Linked DNA regions of Coturnix japonica. The protein of the gene in region 1 interacts with the protein of each later gene in a biochemical or structural test. Links are inferred from orthologs where the notes say so. Each region holds a gene or a part of one and is shown on either strand. Other genes may lie near its edges.

Region 1 (3,512 bases):
AAAAACTGCACCAAGGACACTGAGAAGTCACACCTAAGTGAGGTAATGGAACCTCAGCACCACCCATTCTAACACAGTGCAGTGTACAACCCACTCCCACTACCTTAGTCCTACAGCCTTAATGATGGACAGCAGCTTCTGAAGTCCTTACAGGAACACTGCATCCTTTCTGAAAATACAGAATCACGTTAAATTCTAGCAAGATTTAGTGACACAGTACTAGTGCTTAGACTTAAGACTTTAATCCATGTTAGGATTCACCCTCAAATACCTCCACAACCCACATAAAGATGCTTAAACCACCATGGAAGAAAGCCAAAAGGAACGTGTCATTTATATATACTGGGTTTACTAGCTTGAACTGAGACAGACAACAGAACGTAATGTGCAACAGAAAACTTTATTAGCATTTCAACATACAGATCAGCAGTTACTTAAGCTTGCGTTTAATTTAAGACATCAGAAAGACTACAGTGCAAACACAAGTGCTGTGCATCTTGCTCGACAAGACTGCTGACAACAACTAATAGCCACCCCTGAGGCGCAGCACCAGGTGCAGGGTGGACTCCTTCTGGATGTTGTAGTCAGACAGGGTGCGCCCATCTTCCAGCTGCTTGCCAGCAAAGATCAGCCTCTGCTGATCGGGAGGAATGCCTTCTTTGTCTTGGATCTTGGCCTTCACATTTTCAATGGTGTCACTGGGCTCAACCTCAAGGGTGATGGTCTTACCAGTGAGGGTCTTCACAAAGATCTGCATCCCACCCCTGAGGCGCAGCACCAGGTGCAGGGTGGACTCTTTCTGGATGTTGTAGTCAGACAGGGTACGGCCATCTTCGAGCTGCTTGCCAGCGAAGATCAACCTCTGCTGATCGGGAGGAATGCCTTCCTTATCTTGGATCTTAGCCTTCACGTTCTCAATGGTATCGCTGGGCTCAACCTCAAGGGTGATGGTCTTGCCAGTCAGGGTCTTCACAAAGATCTGCATCCCACCCCTGAGGCGCAGCACAAGATGCAGGGTGGACTCCTTCTGGATGTTGTAGTCAGACAGGGTGCGCCCGTCTTCCAGCTGCTTGCCAGCAAAGATCAGCCTCTGCTGATCAGGAGGAATGCCTTCTTTGTCTTGGATCTTGGCCTTCACGTTCTCGATGGTGTCACTGGGCTCAACCTCAAGGGTGATGGTCTTGCCAGTCAGGGTCTTCACAAAGATCTGCATCCCTCCCCTGAGGCGCAGCACAAGATGCAGGGTGGACTCTTTCTGGATGTTGTAGTCAGACAGGGTGCGCCCATCTTCCAGCTGCTTGCCAGCGAAGATCAGCCTCTGCTGATCGGGAGGAATGCCCTCTTTGTCTTGGATCTTGGCCTTCACGTTCTCGATGGTGTCACTGGGTTCAACCTCAAGGGTGATGGTCTTGCCAGTCAGGGTTTTCACGAAGATCTGCATCCCTCCCCTCAGACGCAGCACAAGATGCAGGGTGGACTCCTTCTGGATGTTGTAGTCAGACAGGGTGCGCCCGTCTTCGAGCTGCTTGCCAGCGAAGATCAACCTCTGCTGATCGGGAGGAATGCCTTCTTTATCCTGGATCTTGGCCTTCACATTCTCAATGGTATCGCTGGGCTCAACCTCAAGGGTGATGGTCTTGCCAGTCAAGGTCTTCACAAAGATCTGCATCCCTCCCCTGAGGCGCAGCACCAGGTGCAGAGTGGACTCTTTCTGAATGTTGTAGTCAGACAGGGTGCGCCCGTCTTCCAGCTGCTTGCCAGCAAAGATCAGCCTCTGCTGATCGGGAGGAATGCCTTCCTTGTCTTGGATCTTGGCCTTCACATTCTCGATGGTGTCACTGGGCTCAACCTCAAGGGTGATGGTCTTGCCAGTCAGGGTCTTCACAAAGATCTGCATGTTTACCTGAAAAACATACAGAAATTTTAGCCTTAGCTAAAAAGCACTTTAAGTCCACATACACCTTACAAACGAGAAAAAAAAGAACAACTTACTAATTTGCATTACGTTACATCATTTAGGATTTCAATAAGCTATAACTAACCCTGTTGTTCCTGTTCCCCACCTCTTCCTTGAGGTAGGACCCTATAATTCTGAATGCCCTGTGCTGGCCGAGCCCAGCACCCCCCTTCCTTTAACTCCAGGGCACCCCCCCGTGCTCTCACACTGGCACAACGGCTGCAGCCGCGCTGACTCAGCTCCCGCTTCCGGGCCGCACAGCGCCGCGCTCCGCCATCTTTATAACACCCCACCTTCCTCAGCCACAAGCTTCCCCTGCCCCCCCCCCCCCCTCGCACCGTTCTTCAAGCGCCCTTAGGCCGGATTAGACCGTCCACAACCACCTCCCCTCACAAATACAACCCCAAGCGGACTCACTCCAACCCCTTCTGCCTTGAAAACAAAAAACCACCGTCCCTTCTCTCCCCCCCCTCAGCGCTCCCCCCACACAACTCACGTCTCCGGCCCTGAGCTCCGATCAATGCAATCCCGATCCCAGTCGCTGTGTTCTGCGCTGTGACGCAGCGCCGCCCCTATTTATGCTCCTTGCGCCGCACAGTCCCCGCCCTCAAAGCGCTGACGTATCCCTCCGCCTCTCAAAGTAGTCCCAAACGAACCCCCCCCCGGTACCAGCAATACTCACCTCTCTACCGCTCCAATCCCTCCTCCAGGAGTAATGGGGTCCGTGATGTCCTCGGTAGAGAGAGGAGACCCTTCAAAATCCCAAAAGTTCTGAGGGCGCGGATGGATCTGGAGCTGCGGTGAAACGGCCTAATGAAACGTTCTAATCCCAACGGTGGCAAGATCGGCGCTGATTGGCGCAGCAGTAAGAAAGGTGGCTGCTGATTGGTTGTTAAGGAAAGATCCGTTGTAAAGAAAGCTCTGGAAGATTCCAGCGTTGCAGCGTTCTGATTGGTGCGCGGTGAGGTCAGCGCTGTTGCTAGGGCGGCCCTGCTCTGCGGGGGCAGATTTCGGTGGGGTGGGGGGGTGTGCGCATGCGCAGATCCGTAGAGTGGGGGCAGGGAGAGGCCGGGCAGGCCCCGCGCCCATGGGGACGTTGTGTTTAGGCCGCATCTTTTTGCCTGTTATTTGCTTAGGGAAGGGTCTGACAAGGAGAAAGGGGGCAAAAATACCCCTTAATCACAGCAGGCCCACTGCTGCTTTCAGAACAGGAAGCACTGAACAGGTCACACAGCAGCTTCCTGCTTTGAGCCGACGTGGCGGCATGTTTTGTGTTCATTAAAGCTCATTATACCTTTCAGAACAGCTCTTATATCATAACCAGAGCATGCAGAAAGCAGGAAGGTTTCTCTGCTGTTTCATTTACTGCTCGGTGAACACAGATGAACTTGCTGGTAAATCCTCTGCTTAGGAAGCACGAACGTGTGTGTGAATAGCAGGACTGAACACAGGGCTGTATTTCCCCCAGTTAAAAAGAGAGCTTTCACTTCTTTTAGCAAGGCCTGTGACTGCTCAGCACTTGGTTTACAGTAAAAAGGACATAAATCTTCCCAGC
Region 2 (3,722 bases), on another chromosome or scaffold:
ATTTCAGAATAGACTGCAGCTAACGAGAATAAAGGGGAGGACTTCAAGACCTATTTTTCCACAGAAAGCAAGAAACAGAAGAGCTGTGAACTCATTTTGCTTCCTGGCAATTTTATTAGTTTCATTAATTGCTTTGCTCAACCTCTGATGCTTCCAGGCCTCCCATATACTTGAAAACTATCTTCCTTAGCCATTTTTGTCTTCAAGTGGAGCAGTAATTATGGGAAAACTGCTTCTGCTTATTCAATACATTGCATCCACATTTAGATGCCATCAGCTGCATGACTGCAACCATTTCGGTCTTCCTTTCTTGGTTACCTTCTCATTCAGTTCTCAAACGTCTGTTTTGCAAATTCATTGTTATGCTGAGAGAAAGCAGAGCAGAGATAAAAATAATTCTACCCCACTATGTGAAGTTATAAAGAATTACCTTATTTATTATACCTCGAGCCTCGCTAGCAAAATCACGAGAACAAACTTCTAAGTGAAATATCCTTCCACAGTTTGATACACAGGCTCCTAGAAGCTGACAACAGAAACACAGTTATGAAAATGTAGGACAACAATAATCCAAAACAAAAGCACATAGAAAAATTAAATTCCACCCTTTGTTCAGAGCGCTCCCACTGACGTCTACTGAAGATATACAGAAACTTATTAAGTGATCAGCACACAATTCATAGCTACATTACATGGAGAAATATAGAAGTTCTGGAAGGTAGTAATAGGCTACTCACTGTAAGCGCTTGCAGAGCTACATGGGGAACTTTATGATTTACTCTCTTCATGATGGCTTTAAGGCAATCCTTTGCCCTAAAAGAAGAAAGTATTAGAGACAAATGACTTTATAGAACAAATTTTACCAGATACTCATGTCCTGTAAGCAAACAAAACTGGCTCTGCAGAAAAAAAACCAAAAAAAACCATAACCTAACCCATACTTTTCCCAGAACAAGTCTGGAAGAATACTTAACGCATCACTTGTTCTTAAAAGTGCACTGGATTGGAAGACTCCATTATTATGCTGGCATTCTACATTGATATCCATAATACTGACAGAATTGGTCACAGTTCTGCTGTCAGAAGGAGCTGTGCTAGAAGCTCCTCTGTGCACAACACATGCACTCCAAACTCACAAGGAGCCACAGGGTCAGAGCCAGCAGCAGGTGCCATAGAAACACATGCACCACTGCCATTGTGGATATTCAGTTCAGAATTGATGAAACCTGTTCCAAAGGGGAAAGAAAACCTCCAAATGCTCCACTGGATGGATGTGTTGGCCTCAGTACCAGCTACCCTGGTCCATCATTGCAGTCCTGGTGTGCTGAGTTACTTGCTGATTACTTGCACATGGCTGGAGAAGCTTAAGTGTAGTTCTAATATTGAGTACATTTGTTCGTAATTCATGACCATAACAAAATCAACAAACTCATTGTTAAAGTATGTACTCGTTTAAGGGTAGCCAATATATCTTTCTTTCTAGAATGCATAAGGAACTTAATGTAGTAACCTGAAATATTACACCTAAATTACAAGAACACAAATCTACCATCACTTATGAATTCAAGATATGTACCAGTTCAAGATAACTACAGAATCTACATGTTATAACTCAAAAGATCTCCTTCACTTTCATCAATTATAAGATCACCGAATTTCCACTTTTGTGTCAATACAACCACTGAATGTAAACTGATTGAGTCCTGATCCCAAATTTTACTCCTTTTTCCTCCTCCATCAATCCCACTCTTCCTAATGAACAGACAAATTCCCAATCATAAATAACCAACTCCCTACGTATTTTTTTTCTCCCCCACAAAGAATCTAGTTCACTTCTTCCTATTGGCACAGTTGCTTTGCAAAACACATGCAAGATTAATAAATACGAATAATTTGGTCTGCTAGGCAAAACTTCCTAAAACTGGAACACATTCAGCATCTACCAGTTGCTCCACTGGAAGTCCTGCTGGAGTATTTCATTCCAAGAACTTTAAAGCAAACCACACACATCTGTAGGGCTCACAGAAGTGTCACAGCTGTGGTGCTTTCTATGTAGCTGATTATGATGAGCGTTTTGATGTGTTACTTTTGAAGCAGTATTATCCACACCAACATGAAATCACACGTCACGATGCCGAGTACAGCTCACCCATTAGGAGTGCTTCCAACTTTGTCACATATGTCCATTATGAGACCCCAGTCCTCACTGGTGTTGTGTTCATTTGTAGCCTTTTCTATAAAGAAAAGAAGATTGATTAAGCATAATCCACACAGAAGATACTGAGATTAGTGCTGCTACTTGGTATCTTATAAAGTGATATGCGTGTGTTTTCACATAGGAAGAGCGGTACTGGAATAATAAATGCATTCAGTAGTTAAAAGATCTGAAAAACAAAACAACTCTAAGTGTAAAGCTATTGAAAAAAGAACATAAAACTGCTTCTGCTCAGTTGGTTCAGTTAGCCCAGGTTCAGGTCAGAGCCCTAATTCAGAGCTTGCTCAAGGTCTTCTCATCTTGGCACTCACAACGTATTCCACATGGGTGTTCCAAGTGAACCAGATAAATCTCTTAAAGTCTCTAAAGGAAAAGATTTGTCATTAGAACAGCTTGTGAGATTCTCAGGGCATCCAAACATCACAACAAATGTCACGAGAAATGAAATGGAAGGGTTATAAAGGGTTATAAAGGTCCCAGAAGCAGCCAATAAAAACCAAACCACCCTTCCAAAAAAGTGTAATTCTACTCAATACTTACAGCATTTTAATCAATACACGAACCGATAAAGCTTAATGTTATTTATTTGTGCTCTCCCTTTAAGTTCATCATGTTATCTTCATGCCAGGTTAATATTACGATAGGATCAGAATTACTCAGGAAATATTTCATGCACCCCATTCGCTGCATTAAGAGTTAATTTTACCACGCTCTTTTAATATTTTGACCAAATTCAAAGGAAGAAGCTTTTATGTCCTATATTAATTCCATCAGAATGAACTTCATAAACAAATCAAGAAAGTACTTTAATCGCTACTTTAACATCTGTCTCAGCCTGAGAACCCACAAAGTCCCTTTGGGACTGAGTACGTTAAAGGCTATTAGCAGACTAAAGCAGAACGTAATGGACCTTCGCTATTAATGTGATGGCGTTCTGTGATAGAAGCAGTCTCCAAATGACAAGGCTTGCTGACAGCAATGCTACCTCAGGACAAACCCATCTCTGGGTGTGCAATTAAGCAGCTCCTCTGATGAGGAGTTGCTGTAAACTGTAAAACACTACAGTTTTACAGTCAAAAGTTGCAGCAATCCTTGGCAGCAGAACGGCTTCCACAAAGCAAACACCAGCACAGCAGTGCCCCTGGAAGCCTTTTATTACAGATGGAAGAGCAGGCCAAAGAGGAGAGAATAGAAATGTGCAATTTTGGCCGTACATTATCCTTACAGTCTACAATAACTATTTAAGGAAAGCAAATACTGTGCTGAAAGCACGTTCCTGCAGCACTAACCTTAAAGTACTTATCCTGGAAAGACACCGTTGTTGAATTTTCTTGTAGGTACATTGATATTTTTAGGTCAGTACCACAACATTCATTGCTCATTCTTGAAACGAAATGAGCACCTGCAATTTTATACAGTTTAAGGTGCAATTTCCTTTTAAAAAAAAAATAAAAATCTGAAGAAAACAAAGAGCGCCTACATGCACAGCAGCTCCTGGCTATGTGAG
Region 3 (3,822 bases), on another chromosome or scaffold:
TGACATCGGCTCCTTTGATGAGGAGGACACGAAGGGCATCAAGGTAGCAGGCTGGGGGCTGGCACCGGGCAGTGGCTTGGCATGGGGCAGGCCTTGATCCCACCTCCCCACCAGTTGCTGGAGAGTGACCAGGAGCTGTACCGCAACTTCCCACTCACTATCTCGGAGCGCTGGCAGCAGGAGGTGACTGAGACCGTCTTTGACACCGTCAATGCAGACACAGACAAGCAGGAGGCGCGCAAGAAAGCCAAGAACAAGCAGCTGGGCCACGAGGAGGGTGAGTGGGGCCAGGTGTCCCCTGCCCCATCCCTGGTGTCGGCCGGCACCGCACAGCGGTGGCAGTGCCTGGCACTGAACCTTTCTCCTGTGTTGCGGGGGCCACAGACTACGCCATGGGCAAGGACTGCATCGTACATGGGTACATGTCCAAGCTGGGCAACCCCTTTCTGACCCAGTGGCAGCGCCGCTACTTCTACCTCTTCCCCAACCGGCTGGAGTGGCGTGGGGAAGGCGAGTCACCGGTAAGGCGGGCAAGGGGGGGATGTGGGGTTCATCTATTGAGGCTTGGGCTGAGCCCATCCTCTCAGCAGTCCCTGCTCACCATGGAGGAGATTGACTCAGTGGAGGAGACTCAGGTGAAGGAGCGCAAGTGCATCCTGCTCCGCATCCGTGGCGGCAAGCAGTTCGTGCTGCAGTGTGATGTGAGTGTGCCACGGGCCCTTGGGGGGCCACACTAATCCACTGTATGGCAGGATGGTGAGTCGGGGGAGCTCTGCTCTGAGCCATGTGCTTCCCCACAGAGCGACCCCGAGCTGGTGCAGTGGCAGAAGGAGCTGCGGGATGCCCAGCGCCAGGCCCAGCAGCTGCTGCAGCGGGTGCCACGCATGCAGAACAAGCCACGCTCACCTGTGGTGGAGCTCAGCAAAGTGCCCTTCCTGCAGCGCTCTGCCAATGGGCTCTGACCCCCTGCCCTGCCTCCCCCCGCCCTTCCCACCCTACCATTAATTTATTGGGTTGGGTTCCACGTACCCCCACTCCTTGGTGTCCTTGAGCAGAGCTCCAGGAGGACGCCTGGTGCCAGTGCCAGCCCCCTGCCCATGGAAGGGCACATCCATGGCATCACCGTCTGGAGCGGAGCTGGTGCTGAACGTGCAGCACCACTCCCTGCTCCCGCTCCGGCTCAGATGAAGGCAGTCCCGTGTCCCCACCTGCTGTCCTGCCCCCAGACCACCGCCCCCCTTCACCACCCACGTGTGCCAAACGGGGCAGCAGCGGCTCCCTGTGCCGCACGTGCCCCAGCCCGGCTGTGCCCGTCTGTGGGTGCCAAGTCCCCTGTGTGAATAACAGTGTGTGTGTGTGTGTGTGTGTGTGTGTGTGTGTGTGCGCGCCCGGGGGGCCCCCCTGTAAATACTGTGCCATGGGCCCCCTGCCCCCTGAGCCAGCGGGTGATGCGGGAAGAGGCAGCTGGGGAGGAGAAGTGGGGACGACCCCCGACTCCGCCTGCTGTGCCCGCTGGCATCTGTAAATAGTAGCGTGGGGAGGAGCGGCGGGCAGAGCACGGTGCGAGTGAGGGATGGATGAGCGGAAACGTGAGAATGCCTAAAAAAAACACACACACACAAAAAAAAGAAGGGAAACAAACAAACAAAAAAGCAGTTTTTTTTATAATAAAAATGTGGAAAACCACAGTCAGGCTCCGGAGTCTGCGGGGCGGCACCGGGACGAGGAGAGTGGGGAGGACATGGCGAGCGCCCGGTGCCGTGGGGGCGCTGGGGGGTTACCCGGTGCCGGCCCCGCCCCGCGCCGCCGCGCTGCGCTGCGCTGCGCTGCACCGCGCCACCGCCACCCCCGCGCGCAGCCATTGCGGGCAGGCGCGGAGCTGCTGCTGGGCCCCCGTGCGCTGTACGGCCCGGACCGGCCCGGCCCGGATCCCGGGGACATGGTGCGGGAATGGCCCGCGCCGCAGACACCTTCCCGCTGCACCGCCTCGTGTGGCACAACCGGCACCAGGCGCTGGACAGTGCGCTGCGCTCCGGCACGGTGCGCGCCGGGTGCGGGGGGGGGCGCGGGCACGGCACCGGGCATGGCACGGCGGGGGATGCGGGGCAGCGGCGGTACGGGGACACGGAGGAACCGGGGAGGTGCTGGGGAGATGGGGGGACGTGGGGTCTTGGGAGCGCTGGGTGCAGGGAGAAGGGAGAGCGAGGGGGAGGAGATGTGGGGATCGGAGGAAGGCACTGGGGGCGCTGGGATGTGGTGCGGGGGTGGAGGGATGGGGAGGATTTGGGTGACAGGGAGAAGTAGGGGGTGCTGAGGGACAGGAGGGTTCGGAGATGGGGGCTGCGGGGCTGGGGTGAAGGCGTGGGAGAGGGGGCACGCGGCTGGCACCGGCCGGGGGGGTGGCCCGGGTGACGGTGCGCGTGCCCCAGCACGACGTGGAGCTGACGGACCCCCGAGGACGCACCCCGCTGCACCTGGCCACCACGCTGGGCCACCTGGAGTCGGTGCGGGTGCTGCTGCGGCACAACGCCAACGTGGGCCGGGAGAACGCCAACGGCTGGACGGGTGTGTGCGCGGGTTGGGGTGCGGGGATGGTGGTGGCGGCGCCCGGCTGATGGCAGCTCCCCGCCCCGCAGTGCTGCAGGAGGCGGTGAGCACCGGGGATCCCGAGATAGTGCAGCTGGTGCTCCAGTACCGCGACTACCAGCGGGCAACGCGGCGGCTTGCCGGCATCCCCGAGCTGCTCAGCAAGCTGCGCCGGGTATGGCCGGGCGTCCGAGGCAGTGGGTGGGCACCTGTGGCCCTGGATAACCCCAGGGTGGGGGCACACCTGACACCGGGCACCTCCATCTCCAAGCACCCGCAGCACCGGGTACCCCCAGCACCGGGTGTCTCCATCACTGGGTGCACCCAACATGAGCACCCTCAGATATGGACTTCCACCATGGGAATTAGAGGGTGCAGCTGGAGAGACCCCGAGACCCCATCCCCCCCCAGGACTCCCTGTTTTTTCCCCTCAGTCCCCCTTCCCAAGCTCCCCAAGGGGCCCCACGGGCTTCCCTGCATCCCAGCAGGGACCTCCACACCATAGCCTTCTGTGACCCCTCTGTCTCCTCCAGGCCTCTGACTTCTACGTGGAGATGAAGTGGGAATTTACCAGCTGGGGTGAGCGGGGACAAGGATCGGGACAAGGATGGGGGTGGGGATGTCACCCCCTGTCACACCACGGATGGGTGTTGCTGCCTGCAGTGCCCCTCGTGTCCAAGGTGTGCCCCAGTGATGTGTACCGTGTCTGGAAGCGGGGTGAGAGCCTGCGGGTGGACACCACGCTGCTGGGCTTCGAGCACATGACGTGGCAGCGGGGCCGCCGCAGCTACATCTTCAAGGGAGAAGGTTTGGCTCTGGCACCCTGGAAAAACTCACACGGATCCCAGATCTCCCTTAGAGGCCCCGGGTGCCCCTGGATGCAGCATCCCCAGGGCCAGGGGCTGCCTGCATGCTGCAGTGCTGAGTGCTGACTCCATCCTCTCATGCAGAGGAGGGAGCGGTGGTGATGGAGGTGGACCACGACAAGCAGGTGGTGTACACTGAGACGCTGGCACTGGCCCTGCACGAGCCAGACCTGCTGCTGGCAGCCATGCAGCCCTCGGAGGAGCATGTGGCTGGGCGGCTGACGTCGCCCATCGTCTCCACGCACCTGGACACCAGGAACATCGCCTTTGAGCGGTGTGTGCCACGGGGCCCATGGGGCTGGAGGGCCACTGGGCACAGGGCTGGTGCCACTCTCCGCTTGTACACACAGGAACAAGTCAGGGATCTGGG

The links.
Region 2: the proteins of UBC (region 1) and STAM2 form a complex in vitro, tested with the Homo sapiens proteins (11 studies listed by BioGRID and IntAct, with this or other methods). The link is inferred for Coturnix japonica from reciprocal best matches to the Homo sapiens genes UBC and STAM2.
Region 3: the proteins of UBC (region 1) and ANKRD13D form a complex in vitro, tested with the Homo sapiens proteins (4 studies listed by BioGRID). The link is inferred for Coturnix japonica from reciprocal best matches to the Homo sapiens genes UBC and ANKRD13D.

The regions. Positions count from the first base shown.
Region 1 is NC_029534.1:5,348,719-5,352,230, reverse strand, and holds UBC (polyubiquitin-C), read right to left. Parts: upstream 2,801-3,512; 5' UTR 2,640-2,800; intron 2,579-2,639; exon of another isoform or gene 2,454-2,578; intron 1,904-2,453; 5' UTR 1,898-1,903; coding exon 524-1,897; 3' UTR 382-523; downstream 1-381.
Region 2 is NC_029522.1:30,557,267-30,560,988, reverse strand, and holds part of STAM2 (signal transducing adapter molecule 2), read right to left. Parts: intron 2,235-3,722; coding exon 2,150-2,234; intron 2,050-2,149; exon of another isoform or gene 1,049-2,049; coding exon of another isoform or gene 942-1,048; intron 814-941; coding exon 738-813; intron 527-737; coding exon 431-526; intron 1-430.
Region 3 is NC_029520.1:144,916-148,737, forward strand, and holds the start of ANKRD13D (ankyrin repeat domain-containing protein 13D), read left to right. Parts: upstream 1-1,555; 5' UTR 1,556-1,577; coding exon 1,578-2,051; intron 2,052-2,429; coding exon 2,430-2,565; intron 2,566-2,636; coding exon 2,637-2,761; intron 2,762-3,119; coding exon 3,120-3,165; intron 3,166-3,249; coding exon 3,250-3,393; intron 3,394-3,536; coding exon 3,537-3,726; intron 3,727-3,802; coding exon 3,803-3,822. Other genes in the region: GRK2 (beta-adrenergic receptor kinase 1), read left to right, coding at 1-43, 115-277, 385-521, 588-701, 801-962. UniProt on the Homo sapiens protein: Ubiquitin-binding protein that specifically recognizes and binds 'Lys-63'-linked ubiquitin. Does not bind 'Lys-48'-linked ubiquitin.